Linked DNA regions of Struthio camelus. The main gene of each other region encodes a partner of the protein of the gene in region 2 in a complex. Links are inferred from orthologs where the notes say so. Each region holds a gene or a part of one and is shown on either strand. Other genes may lie near its edges.

The links.
Region 1: GATB (region 2) and GATC share a complex: the UniProt entries of both Homo sapiens proteins name them as parts of the heterotrimeric GatCAB amidotransferase (AdT) complex. The link is inferred for Struthio camelus from reciprocal best matches to the Homo sapiens genes GATB and GATC.

What each region holds. Positions count from the first base shown.
Region 1 is NC_090958.1:7,928,251-7,936,248, forward strand, and holds the start of GATC (glutamyl-tRNA(Gln) amidotransferase subunit C, mitochondrial), read left to right. Parts: upstream 1-4,934; coding exon 4,935-5,030; intron 5,031-6,932; coding exon 6,933-7,099; intron 7,100-7,904; coding exon 7,905-7,998. Other genes in the region: COX6A1 (cytochrome c oxidase subunit 6A1, mitochondrial), read left to right, coding at 1-98, 692-778; TRIAP1 (TP53-regulated inhibitor of apoptosis 1), read right to left, coding at 4,303-4,386, 4,677-4,823. UniProt on the Homo sapiens protein: Allows the formation of correctly charged Gln-tRNA(Gln) through the transamidation of misacylated Glu-tRNA(Gln) in the mitochondria. The reaction takes place in the presence of glutamine and ATP through an activated gamma-phospho-Glu-tRNA(Gln).
Region 2 is NC_090945.1:38,014,174-38,021,248, reverse strand, and holds the start of GATB (glutamyl-tRNA(Gln) amidotransferase subunit B, mitochondrial), read left to right. Parts: upstream 1-4,025; 5' UTR 4,026-4,084; coding exon 4,085-4,212; intron 4,213-6,870; coding exon 6,871-7,021; intron 7,022-7,075. UniProt on the Homo sapiens protein: Allows the formation of correctly charged Gln-tRNA(Gln) through the transamidation of misacylated Glu-tRNA(Gln) in the mitochondria. The reaction takes place in the presence of glutamine and ATP through an activated gamma-phospho-Glu-tRNA(Gln).

The DNA.
Region 1 (7,998 bases), on a different chromosome or scaffold from region 2:
GAGTTGGTGTCTGCATGCTGAACTGCTACTTAAAAGGACAGCACGAGCATGAAAGACCCGAGTTTATTCCTTATGCTCACCTCCGGATCAGGACCAAGGTATGTTCCAGTGCTCTGTTCAAAGACCTTCTTATTTCCTGTGACTGCAGAGCTTCATCTGAGGTTACTACAGCTTCTGTGGCTTTCTTACCTACAAAGTGAGGTGCTGCATACATAGGCATGATTTTAACTTTGTTTCTGAGACAGCAACGGAGGGTCTCACAGCTGAGCTGAAGTACCCATCGCCTTTGCAGGTCTAGAACTAGCCTTTTGCTTCCCCAGAGTAATCCTGCTGGGGCGTCACTGAAAACGCTTCAGCCACAGAGCTGCTTTAGTTACCTTACACAAATACAGAGGCTAATAGAGCTGATCCTATGATCCCAGATTCCCAAAACAAGGGTCCTGACAGTATTGATCTTTGATGTCCTGGCAATGACCTTATTGTCTAGAGACAGCTGTCACCAGCTAACGGAGACTGTTTTCCACCTTGCTCTTTGTACAACCTGGAAAGCAGATGTTAGCTTGCTTATTTCACCAGCCTTTCAAGCTGGGAGATGTTTGAGTCTATTTCCTGCTGCAAGAGTTAATCTCCTGTGCTGTAGTAGAGCCTTCCATTAGCTGCCAATGGCGTATTTTCTTTCTTCTTTCAACAGCCTTTCCCCTGGGGTGATGGGAACAAAAGTCTATTCCACAATCCCCATGTTAATGCTCTCCCAACTGGTTATGAAGACGAAAACTAAGATCTTGACCATAGCCACAACTTTGGCTCCTTCTGCATTTGGACCAGAATGTTGTATGGGAACCATCGTTTAAGAAACTCTGCATTCCTTCTACTATCAAGTCGAATGGTGTCGCGACCTCTGTTATGTGCTTGCGTAGAGGTCCTTTAAATAAAAACTCCTAACTTGAATTCAGGATCTGACTTTTTTTTGTTAGTCTGTGAATCCTTAGAAGTTTATTCTGCTTAAAACGGTGACACTCCCCCACAAGCAATAGCGCAGTAGCAAAGGGCTTTGAATGACTGAGTGTTACACCTGCTGCTGTACCTGATAATACTGATGTTAGCAATCAATATGTTTGTCATGAGTATGAAAGCAAATAATGCATGATGCCTGGTCTACCTGATCACTGTAAACACATAGCTCACATTAAAATGAACAGTTTTTAGGCTAACACTCTAGATTAAAATTCAGTGTATACTGAAGCAAATTCTGTGTAATCAACTACAGCAATAAAAAAAAATGTTATTAACACAGTCATCAAGGCAACTGTCTCTCACCCAGCGTGTTCTGAGACAGGAGGCGGCGGCAGTCAAAGGTGTGTAATTAAGCTCTGTGCAATTTCACAGTATTAATCTCTAGCTCTGGAGTTTCCTCGTATGCTATAAGCAGTGCACATAAGTTACTCACAGCTTTACAAAGAGCATAGTTGTGGTTTAATTGTACAAAAGTCTCTCTTACGGCCTTTGCAAATGAAAACACACTTTTTGCTCCACTGCATCTTTGTAATATGCACTGTGTCACTGAGAAGCAACTCGGCTCTGCAGGTTAAAGTTTAACGTTTCAAGGAGAGACTATAACTTTATTTTCCAAAGTCAGTAGCCAAGTCTAAAGCTCTCTGCCTGTCCCAATACAGCATTAATTTTGAAGAGTTTCCTCTCAACAAGTCAACTGTTTTCCTATTCCCTCTGCAACTTCCATATTCTTTTGCATGGCAGAACGCAGAGAGAACTTATGTCTTAGCTGTAATTATTATCATAATTTTTCCCCAAGGAAGACTACCACAGCTGACTTGGCATCCTGCTGCTGAAAGGAGTGATGGAGAGTAAATGAGCTAAATGTAAGAAGCTCTAAAGTGGGCACCGCAGGACACCTTTTCCCATGTTTCAGTATAATTTATTTCATCTACGTAGCTCAACAGAACACTACAGTAGGATGACTTTAAAATTCTTCTGTATTAAAAGCACAGAACAAGGCACTAATGGGCTTAGTTTTTTGTAAAGTTAACTGCCCAAATAACAGTACATTTATTCCTGTATGAAAATGATTACGGAAAAGTGAAGTGGTTGTATAGGTTACTCCTTTAAAAAAAAGTTTCACACTTGACAGTCCCCAAAACGCTATTTAGAATAGAATATAGAATAAAATAGAATATTATTCTAATAGAATAGAATGTTCCCCTAGCATATTTCCCATAAGAGAAAGCTAATTTTATTTATACCTGAGTGACCCAGCAATTTTTAAGTGTCACAGAACAAGCTGTTAAGTGCTTCATATAATCACTGTACAGCCTATTGAGCTACCTGCCTAACGCACCTGAGAAGGGAGTGTGCTGAAACCAGACTATAGAGCAGACAGCACGCAACAGCTGCTATGTTTAGGCCATCGCTGAAGGCACAGGGAACGAAGGCCCCACTATGCTGCAGTTTCTGATATGCAGCACAAATCCTAAGCTAATTTTAAGCATGTGAAATCGTTACTTAGGACCTGCAGCGCAGACAAGCCAGCTACTGTGTTTGAGAACTGCAAATGAATTATTTTGTGTGATTTTTTTTTGTTTGTTTTAAAGTAAAGGCTTTGAACCATGTCTCAGGTAGTCCTTAAAAAGCTAAGAATGAAGCTCATCTTTTTTCCAACAGAATTACAAAGCTGACTTCTCTCTTTTATTCCCAGCTCAGAATGATTTTTTTTAACTCCCTCACCTGTACTGGTGTTCTAGGAGAGGACAGCTTTAGCCCGTCCCTATATGAGGATCAGTGGAGATCTCCCCTGCCACAAGGCTCTGAGGGCTCCTGGATGAGACAGGGTGGGTCCCGGTCTGGATCCCTCACCCCTCTTCCGAACACCTTCATTTTCCTAGTACCTGCAAGGAGGAGCGAAGCTCTGTCATTGAATGTCTCGGGACAGAGGAATTAGAAAACGGATTTGGAGAGAAGAAAAGGCTAGTTCCTGATGACTTCTTCACAACCACGTAAGGAAACACCTGTCATCAGGAACCTTCCATTCTTTCCAGAGAGAAGCCTCCTCAGCCCTTCTACTGCCATTCAAAGGCAGACAATTTCAGGCAACTGTTTTAGGAAAACCAAAAACCAGTGTCATTGTCGTGTTACACAAAGGAGTTAATGTACCTACACCACGTTCAGCTGGGATATCTGATGAGTTAGCCGGCCATCTCACCCTTTCACAGTCACTGCCACTACAGAATTAATAACTTAATCTGTTTCTGTAGTTTACGAGACAGCATATTGAGACAAAGAGGTAACAATTTTAATTTGCTTTACTAGGTGCGAACTACACGTGGTTCGGGAGCAGCTTTGCGAGCAGGTGAGGCGGCCCCAAGAGGCAGGACAGGCAGCTGGAGCTTTAACCATATCAGCTGCCAAGCTTCAATCCAATGTTGCCCTCATTCAATACACGCTTCCAGCTACCCCGAGCAAAAGTGTAACAATGATCATGGCCAACCCGGGGCTTGGTGGGAGAGCGTGTAGAACGACGGCCAGGTCTGCGCTGCAGTTTTCCTGCAGGGACAGACAACATGAAAGGAAAGAAAATTCAAGTTGCAGATTGTTTCAGTACCTCGGAAAAGGCTGGGGAGTACCCTCCACAATCAAAGGCTCCTCTTCAGCAGGCTGTCTCTGCTGAAGATATCTCTATCTCTTTGAGGTCATACTCAGATTCTACTGGACAGCTATCTACTAGAACAAAATATAGCCTGGTTATCAATATTTATTTTAGCTAGGATATTGCACACGGAGCATAAGTGCTTTTATAACATCTCTGGCATCGATACAAAGCAACGTGGTAGCCCCTCAGCATCCAGGATATCAACCAAGCCCCTTTCTCCACAAGTCAGCAGCACAGAGATGAGACAAAGTAAACCAATCGCCTTCATGCTCTTTTTAAATGTTCTGACGTGTTATATAAATAAGCAAGAGAAATCGGTTACAGATCAGTAACTCAACCCATCCTAACAGGCATTCTCCCATTACAGAGTACATTCACATAGGAAGTTAGTTAAAAAGGCTTTTCACAGTTAGATGCTGAGTCACCACCAACATTCATCGAAAAGGGGGCAGTAATTACCACGTGATCCGGGGTGGTGGTGGTGGTGTTTTTACAAGCAGAGCAGAGTACTTGCTTCCTAAAAGGCTACACAGAGAAAGCAGCTTAACAAAGGCCTTTTCCAGGTGGCATCTAGTCTTTTTGTGTGGTTAGGTTCCTTAGTCCAAAGGCTCATGTTAGTGACTCCACGGGAAGAGCTGAAGTCAAGAGGAGTTCTCCGTTTTCCCTTTGCTTGGGCCCATGAATTCCAGGCCTTCAATGGGTATGTCCTTCTCCTTGATTGCTTTCTGGGGAGAAGAAAAACAAACACGCACCTTTACCGCGCTAAATGATGTGTTGTCTGGGACAAAGCAAGACCTAAGGATTAGTAGGCTGGGACGGCTCGGGACAAAGCTGTAATACTAAAGGTGCTCGAAGAGGCGCGGGGAAGCAGCGCTGGGCTGCGACCTCGAGCCCGCCGCAGGAAGGGGCGGCGAGCGCCGCGCTAACCGGCGCGGACGAGCCTCGCCAGGAGGACAGGGACGGCCGGCACCGGCTGCGGAGGGGACGGGAGGGAGGCGCCGGGCCGGGCGCGCACCTGCACGCAGAGCTGGTAGCGGCGGAAGAGCTGCCCGCAGGGGTCGGCGGCGCGCTCGCCCTTGAGGAAGGTCTCGGCGAACCAGCGGTTGAAGCACTGGTCGTACTCGCGCTTCAGCTCCGTGCAGGCCTCGCCCACGCTGTTCATGATGGCGGCGGCACCCCGCGACCCCCCCGCCCCCCGCCGCCGTCGTGACGCGCTTCCCGCGCGCCGCAAGTGCCGCCGGGTGACGCGGCGCGGGCGCTTCCGGCGGCGGCGATGCGGGCGCTGCGCGCGCTGCGGCTGCTGCGGGCGGGGCCGGGGCCGAGGGCGGCGCACGGCGGCGGCGCGCGGGAGGGGCGGCGGCTCCCGCAGGTACGGCGGCGCGCGAGGCGCCGGGGCGCGCGGGGCGGGGCGGGGCCCCCGGCACCGGCACAGCTGCTGTCCCCCGGCACAGCCCCGGCACCCGGGACAGCCCGGCCCCGACACCCGGGACAGCCCGGCCCCGGCACCCGGGACAGCCCGGCCCCGGCACCCGGCACTGATGCCATCCCCAGACAGCCGCTGTCCCCGACACCCTGGGACAGCCCGGCCCCGACACCCGGCACTGATGCCATCCCCAACACCCGGGACAGCCCGGCCCCGACACCCGGCACTGATGCCATCCCCGACACCCAGGACAGCCCGGCCCCGACACCCGGCACTGATGCCATCCCCGACACCCAGGACAGCCCGGCCCCGACACCCGGCACTGATGCCATCCCCGACACCCAGGACAGCCCGGCCCCGACACCCGGCACTGATGCCATCCCCAGACAGCCGCTGTCCCCGACACCCGGGACAGCCCGGCCCCGGCACTGATGCCATCCCCAGACAGCCGCTGTCCCCGACACCCGGGACAGCCCAGCCCCGACACCCAGCACTGATGCCATCCCCGACACCCAGGACAGCCCGGCCCCGGCACCCGGCACTGATGCCATCCCCGACACCCGGGACAGCCCGGCCCCGGCACCCGGCACTGATGCCATCCCCAGACAGCCGCTGTCCCCGACACCCGGGACAGCCCGGCCCCGACACCCGGGACAGCCCGGCCCCGGCACTGATGCCATCCCCAGACAGCCGCTGTCCCCGACACCCGGGACAGCCCAGCCCCGACACCCAGCACTGATGCCATCCCCGACACCCAGGACAGCCCGGCCCCGGCACCCGGCACTGATGCCATCCCCAGACAGCCGCTGTCCCCGACACCCGGGACAGCCCAGCCCCAACACCCGGCACTGATGCCATCCCCGACACCCGGGACAGCCCGGCCCCAGCACCCATCACTGATGCCATCCCCAGACAGCCGCTGTCCCCGACACCCTGGGACAGCCCAGCCCTGACACCCGGCACTGATGCCATCCCCGACACCCGGGACAGCCCGGCCCCAGCACCCGGCACTGATGCCATCCCCAGACAGCCGCTGTCCCCGACACCCCGGGACAGCCCGGCCCCGACACCCGGCACTGATGCCATCCCCAGACAGCCGCTGTCCCCGACACCCTGGGACAGCCCGGCCCCGACACCCGGCACTGATGCCATCCCCGACACCCGGGACAGCCCGGCCCCGACACCCGGCACTGATGCCATCCCCAGACAGCCGCTGTCCCCGACACCCGGGACAGCCCGTCCTCAGTTCGCAGAGCTGGAATCGGCGTGTCCGCACTCACGGCACCCTGCAGACAGATCCATTTACCTCGTGTGTGCAGGGTGCCGACAGCTCCCTGGTTGCTGCGACACACGCAGGTAGATCTTCAGTGGCTGTGGAGTGTCACAGCTGCGCTGAAGTCCACAGGAACAGCTCTTTGTCGCAGTCGGGAGGCGAGCCCTGTGCGACGAGGCTCTGGGCTTGTGGAGAGGAGAACCAGCTGCAGCACGCAGGCCTGGAGCCCCCTCGCCAGCTCTCCCCCACGGCTCTCCGAATTAGCTTTACAAGTGCCAGTTCTTCCGCTTGTCCTCTGCTACACAGACAGTGACGGGGAGAAGGAGGAAGGACTGGCTTGATTAAAGTCAATTTTCCATTCTGATCTGTGACTTCATCAGAAAGGGAAAGGAATAAAAGAAATCAAGATGTTCTAACAGAAGTAAACTCAGTTATTTTCTAAACAAGAAAAGCTTGTTCCATAGCAAAGATGTTAGCGACAGTATCTGGAACTGACTCATCTTTGCCCGTTTTTCCATCCGTCTGTGGCAGCCTATTCCCAGGATCCAAGCAAGGGACTGTGTCTTTTCTTACAGGAAACAGTAACGGTGGCCGTGCTGGATCACTTGGAGCACCTAGCGCTCGTTGATTTCCGCAACGCAGAGGGCGTAGAGCGGCTGCAGAAAGCAATCCAGTTTGCTGATCAGCTTCATGAGGTAAACACAGAGGGAATACAACCAATGGATTCAGTACTAGAAGACAGGTGAGGAATCACTGTTAGTGGCCTGCTTTGAACTATTCATTTGTCAAAGTATTTGCTCTGAAAACTTTTTTCCAGAAATATCCTAGCTATACATTTGGCCCCTTTGCTTACAGAAAGCCTTTAATGCGGTGGTGTGCGGAAGAAAGAGGCCAGATTAGTGCCCACAAGCTTAACACGTTAGCACAGCAAAGATGCACTCCAATCCTTTAGCGCTGTCTTGCTATTTATCCTGAAGGACCTGCACGTGCTGTTCCCCCAGTGTCTGGCAACAGCTTTTGAAGTTGCTTCAAAGTGTCCTAGTACTTGTTGGTCTGCTTGCTTGAGACTGAAAACAGCTTTAGAGATACTCAATGCTTTGTACTTTAGTAACAACCTAACAGGGCATGTTTAGCTCAGCTTTTTACAAAGTTGTGCTGCCAGTAATCCTACATGCAAACATGCAGTCCTACATGTACGTCCTCTGACGTACTTGCCTCTGTATGGCCAGCTCCATACTAAAGCTACCACCAAGTCAAGAGGCGTGGGATGTTTTCAAGGTTTCACTGTCGGTTTAGTGATTGTTTAGGTATATTCAAAGCCTGACAGACTAAGTTTTTCTGACAGGAACAAGGCTGCGACTGTTCACTCATTTGCCAGTCGTCTTTAAGGAAGAACTTCTTAACATGTCAACAGCTTATTGAACAGAAACATTAAAAGATAATGGAGATGTGAAAAAAAAAACAGATCCATGGTGCTTGCACGCAACTTCTGTGCTAGCCTTTGTACTTTGTAGTTTAAAGACAGGCTACTACTCTTTGTTCTTCAGGTGTCTGTATCTCAGAGAAGATGATGTTACAGAAGGCAACTGCACAAAGGAGCTGCTGAAAAATGCCAGAGAAAAAATAGAGGAATATTTTGTA
Region 2 (7,075 bases):
AGAAAATGGCCTAAAGAGCCCCCCAGTCACAGTAAGCCCAGCAGCTGCTCTGCTCCCAGATCGCCACCCATAAACACAAGGTGGGCACTCTCTCCCAAGCAAGACACTAGGTTCCAGGATCACCAACATGTGAATCAGAGCACAGGTGCAGATACTGACTCATTGCAGCACTCCAGGGCAATTACCAAGGGTGAGACTGAGTCTCCCTGAAAAGGTAAGGCTCAAATACAAAACACACTACTTCTCCTTATGTGAAAAATCAATACAGTACAGCCATAGTATGAGTGGTTTTAGTGGCTGAATCAAAGACTTAGATCCTTTCCTACAACACAACCTTTGAGGAATAGTGAATTCACTTTCCACATTTTTTTTAGTATGTCTGTTTTCCAGTATGTCTGTTACTGTATAACAGCATTTGACTACACATATATATTTATTGTGATATTCTTTTGAGTTGAGTTGAGTTGAGTTTTAACTGAGTCTGAACCTTTTTGGTAAGTCATGAGTAATACTACTTTTATGAAATAAAATAAAATGGCATTACCTATCTGACAACAGAAACCGATTCCATTTTGCACATTAACATACTTCAGTGCAAAAGTCCACAAACCATGAGGCCTTTCATATTACCCAATCTATCATAGAATGAAGGCATGCATACACATGGTCAGCAGATCATGCAAGGCAGCTATATTAGCTCCCTAATTGCTTTCTCCCACGTTCAAGAAAAATATCCTTTTCCTTTCTGCAAAATCAGGGGCTTTTTTTTTTTTTTTTTTAAATATTTGCCATCTCCCATAGCTGGTAGCTAGGTAAGCTGGATCAATAGTCCAGGATGATACAGAAAATCATTGCCCTTATTAGTTGAAAGCTGCAGGAAAAGAGGAATATTATCCTCTTTACACTTGTAGAGGAAAAAAGGCTTTCACAGTACACAGGTGATGAGAGGGGCCTAGAAGTGTGAAAACATCCCTTACCATAGTTTTCTTCCAAACTTAATAATCCTCAATAACTATTATTCCCTGCAGGACAGTAATAATAATTTGCTAGACCACAGATCTACTCTTCCAAAAGCCACGCCCTCCATTTCAAAATCTAACAGAGGTTCCTGCCTGTTCCTTATTTTACACGCTGAAATAAGATACTGCAGGCAGCCTGCAAAATATTTAACAAACACTCTGGTCTGAATACCCCATTCCCTGCTATACCAAAAGGAGATCTCACAGTCCACAAAAGGACTAAGTATGCATGCTAAACATAGCTTGCAAGAAAGCAGAAGTTAGAGCTCAAGCCCTATAAATTGAAATTCAGAGAGATCTTCTTTCAAATAAGTGGGACAGACTGCATGTTTATGGCTTAAATGATACGCTGTTGGGCTTTTGTCCTCTACAAAATTCCAATTTCCTCTCAGGTATTGGTTAAATTCCTATAGTAATAAGAAACTCAGACTCACAGCAAACTGTCCCCTGGGTCTACCCTCTCTAAGAGAGAGTCTACATAGTTAGTACTGAACTACCATTGTGCAAGTCTTTATGCAGTGCTGGAGACATTTTGCTATTCCAAGCCACAGCATGATCTATAAACACACTGGAAAGTGGATGCTGCTGCCTAGGGTACACAAGGAACAAATAAGCAGCCTCTTCTACCTCAAAGTAAGCTGCTGGGAAAGGCAATTATTCCCTGCTTGCCTGTGATTGATCAGCTTCCTGTATATGGATGTGCAAGCTTTCATGTATTACCTACTTGGTCACTGGCACACAGCTGCAAAGCAAAGGGCTTTTTAATGGGATTTTTTTCTGGGAAGGGTATTAAAATAGTGTGGATACAATTTACATTACAAATAATGTCACTTTGCAATCTTCTTCTGTAAGTAAGACAGCACCCATGCAGGTGAAAGTTCCTGGGGAATAGCATGGGGTGTGGAAAGTGGCTTTCAACCCTTCTATGCCTTGTGCTCCATTTTTAAATAATATGCACAAAGGGCAGAAGCCTGTGCAACCAAGGCAGAGTAAGGCTTTAAGTAACATAATTTTAATATTCATAACGTTTTAACTTCTTAAGTGATTATTTATGAAATCTTTTATTACATCAGGATAACAGGCTTAGAAAAAAGTATGATAATCCAAAACTTACCCTTTTTCCTCCAGTGCAAATATTTTAGAGTTATATTCAGAAGCCATCCTCACAGCTGGGCTGATACGATCTGCCAGTCCCTACAAAGTATCAAATAGTAATTAAATCCAGTGTTTATGGATGACAATTGTTAAAGGAATTAATTTGTTGCAGAAATAACAATAATATACTAAAGTTTCAGCCTGAAATGCACTCTTCTTAGCAATACATTGCATGGGCTTAGGGCCCTACCAAGTTCAACTAAGCGTCTATTAAGACAACGTGGTTTTTCTCATACCGAAATTATTACAAAATCATATACCCATTCCATTAGGTTAAAGATTGCTATATAGGCTTTTCACTAGGGTATCTGACAGTCTAAGAGCCCCCTGATAGGAGAAGAAAAGGGACACGCTGATGTTCTTTCATTCTCCCAAAAGCGTCTCAGATTGCCTATGGTCAGTTCTTCTTTAACACAAAGAAATTTTGTCCTGGTCATCCTCTTAGGTACAAGAAGGGGTATTCTGCAAGTAAGGGAATACCATAAACTGCAATCCCTAAATTACATTGTACAAGGGACTGTACATCAGTATCTGCTACACATATCTCTCTACTGGTTCTTCTTATAGAGGAACCTCTCGTTACTTTAAGTCATTTAAAAAATAAATATATGTTAAAAAATTAAAACTACGGAACAAATGTTACAAAACTTTTTCTTAATTGGATAAATCACCTTACACATGATTCTGAACCCCTCAGCATCCCACACTGGAGCCTGGGAAGACAGGAGGGTATAAAGGTTATAAGACAATGCCTATGTGCACCACTGCCCTCTGCTGAAAGAAATCAGTCTTACTCATATGTTTGTGACCGATTAACTTCTATTAGTAGCGGCTGACATGAAGCAAAGACGACATAAGCAACAGCTAAGGGAAATTCCCATTTAAGCTCCATAGGCCTGTGGTTTAGGACAGAAGGATGTTAATTCTATTGTCTGTGCAACGTAGCTGTGTAAACAGCATTTGAGATGTTTGCATATGCCCTGGACAGTGATCTTCATTACCATGTATTTGTACTGCAATAACATCTCCAGGCCCTGCAGAGATTAGACCTCACTGCTCTTATGTACATAGAGTTAAGATCCAACGCTGCACCTGAACAGTACCATCTTAGCAGCAGAAGACAAGACAGACAAAGATAGGTGATTTTAGACCCCCAAGACTGGCAAAACACCATCTATGAAATATAAGTTAGTTTTGGACTAGCACGATACCAACAGAAAAGCCATATGGAGCCCCCTTGGAGAACCTGAGCCCAAAACATTTGAAACAACTTTTAACAGAAACACAAAGAAAAACAACATCTTTCACTCTAGCATCTATGCTAGATGGTAGCTTTCTATGATGACTGTTAATTTTCTAAGGACAGGCACAGAACCTGTAGAAACAAGTATCACAGGCTCCTGAAACCCCTTCAAACTTACAGAGCAGTAGCTTCATACATCACACTGCCATATTCTTCTGTACAAGGGAAAACACCTCTCCTAGAGGTGGCTAAGACAGCAGTATGCCAGAGAGCCAAGCCTATACCTATCCAGCAACAAGGCACCATAACACAGAGCCCTGAGGGCAAGAAAGGCAGGGGTCAAAGTTCACCACAGGCTAAGCAGAGCTGGTCTTCACCCAGCCCCCGGTGAAGGCAAGGAGGTGCGGGCCTACAGCTAAACCCGCGCCTCTAGCCCGAGAAGCAACAAAACATTTCACCCACCCTTCGCCTCGCTAACGGCTGCTATACCACAACCAACGCACGCGCCCGCGGCCGCCGCCATTAGGTGGCGCGAGAAGCCCCGCCCCGCCCCACCAACGGCGGGAGTTGTAGTTTTCTTTTCCGCGCCTCCGCGCCCCGCTCCCGCGCGCCGGACTACATTTCCCAGGGGGCGCTGCGGGAGCGGCTCAGCCGAGAGCGAAGCAAAATGGCGGCGGCCGCAGCGCGAGGGTGCGAGCGGGTCTGGTGCTGGGCGTCGCGACGCGGTGCAGCGGGTGTTGCTGCTCCCGCCGCCGCTCGGGCGAGAGGCAGAGCGGCGCCGGCGGGGCAGAGCGGGTACGGTGCCGGGACAGCGCGGGGGAGGTTTCCACTGGGACGTCTTGCCCTCAGCGCGGAGCTGGGCAGCGGCCGTTTGGGGCCTGCAGGGTCGGTTACTGTGTCACGAGCACGTCGTGGGGCGGGAACGGCCGCGGCCCGTTTTGAATGCCCCCTTCTGAAGAGAACGAGGCTTGGGGGTACCTGGCAGCCTGTTCTCAGCGCACGTTTATCTTCGCCTTCCTCCCCCCCCCCCCCCCCAACTTGGTAAAATGCTAGTAGTGTGTTCGCAGTGTGACTGTGTGCCTTTGGCATGTTTGTCTCTGAGAAGAGTCCTGAACAGCGCAAGCAACTTAAAAACTGTTAGTGTTCATGTGTAAGAAATATAAACAGTGCTTGCACCAAGGACTGTGCAAATGCTCATAAATATTTTTCAGGAGGGCTTCTGGTCTAAGGGAAACTTTCCTATCTAGCAGAGAAATGTGCAACTTTGACAACACTGCCTAGAACTGAGCACTTTATTCCTACTGCAGTTGAAAAGAGTTATGGCCTGTGCCAAGCTTTCATGTTTTCTGTTTGTCAAGATTCAAGTTTCCCTGCACAATTGATCACCCAAGTAAAGTTGTGTAGACACCAGCAGAAGTATGTTTCTTTAGATTGATTCCCTGGAGACACAAATAAAAATAAACCTTGAGCAAACATGGCAAGAAACTCTAGGATTCTCATCAGCTTGCAAGTGAAGTCTGATGCAATTTTTAAAACCAGGATGTGAAGGAGATGCTTTTCTAAGGAATGTAGGAAAAGATGGGAGAAAAATAAGATATTGCAAAAATAAAAAAAATCCTCTTCTAAATTCTAAGATACCTTTATAAGTAACTGAAAATATTTGAAAAAATAACAGGATTTGCAAGCTGAGCATTGCACTAAGCAAAATTAAATACGAATTAATCCAATGTGTTTTATTGTCACTCTTAACTAAGATCAGAAATCAAAATATTAAATAGGTGGTTTAAATATATGCTGCCTTGCTCTAGTGCTAAAAAGAGACACAGCAAACAGAAAGTTGTGCAAGAACTTATGGGTTGATTGCTTTCCTAACTTCTTGAGTGCTTTTATTGTCGATGAAGTGCTATAACACTTACATCATACTTGTTTCAAATTTAGTTTACTATTTGGAGAAGTATGCGTTTTTTTACATTGGTCAGAATTGTTTCAGGCCTATTGCAGAGAAAAAAACACCGAGTTTATGTTTCCTTTTACACTTCAAAGTTTTTTTTTCCTGTCATAAAAGTAGATACTTATTGCTTTTTATAATGAAAACTTATATTCCAAGTTGAAAGATATATTTTTTTTTTGCCTGGTCCACATTTATCTTGTCTAAGAAAGCATCCATATGCTTTGTAGTGAATTGATAAGCAGCTTGTCTTTGCGAAATTAGACCGCAGTCCTGCAAAAACTTGCGTTTGTAGACTACTGTGTTTATGTGAGGTGTCCAACTTATTAATACATATGGTAATACATGGTTTGTTTAATTGAAAGCGCTGGAATCGGGATTGGATCCTTAGGATCCATAGTCTGAAACATAGCTAAAGAGCTTTTGTTTTTTGTTTTAATAAAAAATGTAAAAGCTCATTTAAACATCTGAAATTTACTCCTTTATGATAATATCCTTCTTCCTAAAGGAGCAATGTATATCTGCATCACTAGTTTGGTTTTTGTAGGGATGTCCTTAGCTGTTGGAGGACAGACACAGAACTAAAATCCTGGCAGTGTATTACGTTCACCTTTGGAAGGAACACTATTCGTGATATATTTGTTCAATGCTTCTCCATAGCTCACTTATCTGCTATAGCTATCTGGGTACTTATATTGCTGAAGTATCCTGTCAGAGAAATGTGATTTCATCACTGAAATATTATTTGTGCCACTTCATTTGTACAAGGCCAGATAATTACTTGCAGAAACTGTCAAGCAATTCATACCGTAAAGGTGACCCTTTTCTCTTGTCCATATAAAGGTTATGGATGTGAAAATTGCAATTGCTTTTTCGATGATATGGAGAAGCTTTATTCTCTTCAGTATGTTCAGAGAGCAGTAGCTCTCTAGTTGAAATGATGATTTCTCTATTACCAGATTACTAATGTTTATGCTAATATGCTACTAACGTTGCTCTGGAGAGCCGCCTTTCCCAGCATGCAAGCAACTAGCTGACGAGAATATATAATTTATACCACCTGTCTGTTGGAGATTTATCAAACTGCGTGAGAAGTAATTGGTATTTATGATGATTTTATGATTTCCATGGAGTACCAAGTTGGGGTTCATCAAGTATGCAAGTTGCCTCATTGAGTTCTGTAAGATTCCTCATGTAGGGAAGAGTTAAAAGTTTCAGACCATTATGTTTTATTACAGCATTCTCTCCAGTATATAGCAAAGTCACTTGACCGCATATTTTCCCTCTGTATACATGGTGGATTAGTCTCTGGTCTCCAGTCCTGTAGCGCAACTTTTGCCATTGAACGGTAGATGGATTTACAACCAAATTTGCAATGATTTTTAATAATTACGATTTTTTTGTTGTTGTTAAAAAGGAAGAGGTTTAACTGTTGTATCTTTCAGGTATTTATGGATGTTAACATGTTATTTGTGCTTTAACTGTATTTCCCTTTTCCTTTTCAGTCTTGCTCCCTGGGTACCAGTTGTGGGTCTGGAAATTCATGCGCAAATTAGTTCAAATTCAAAACTCTTTTCTGGTTCCCAAGTCCAGTTTGCAGCACCTCCTAACTCCTTGGTATCTTTCTTTGATGCTTCTTTACCAGGAACCTTACCAGTAAGTTATGTTTCAGTTTAATTTATGTCAGGTTTTATGTCGGTCATTTAGTTA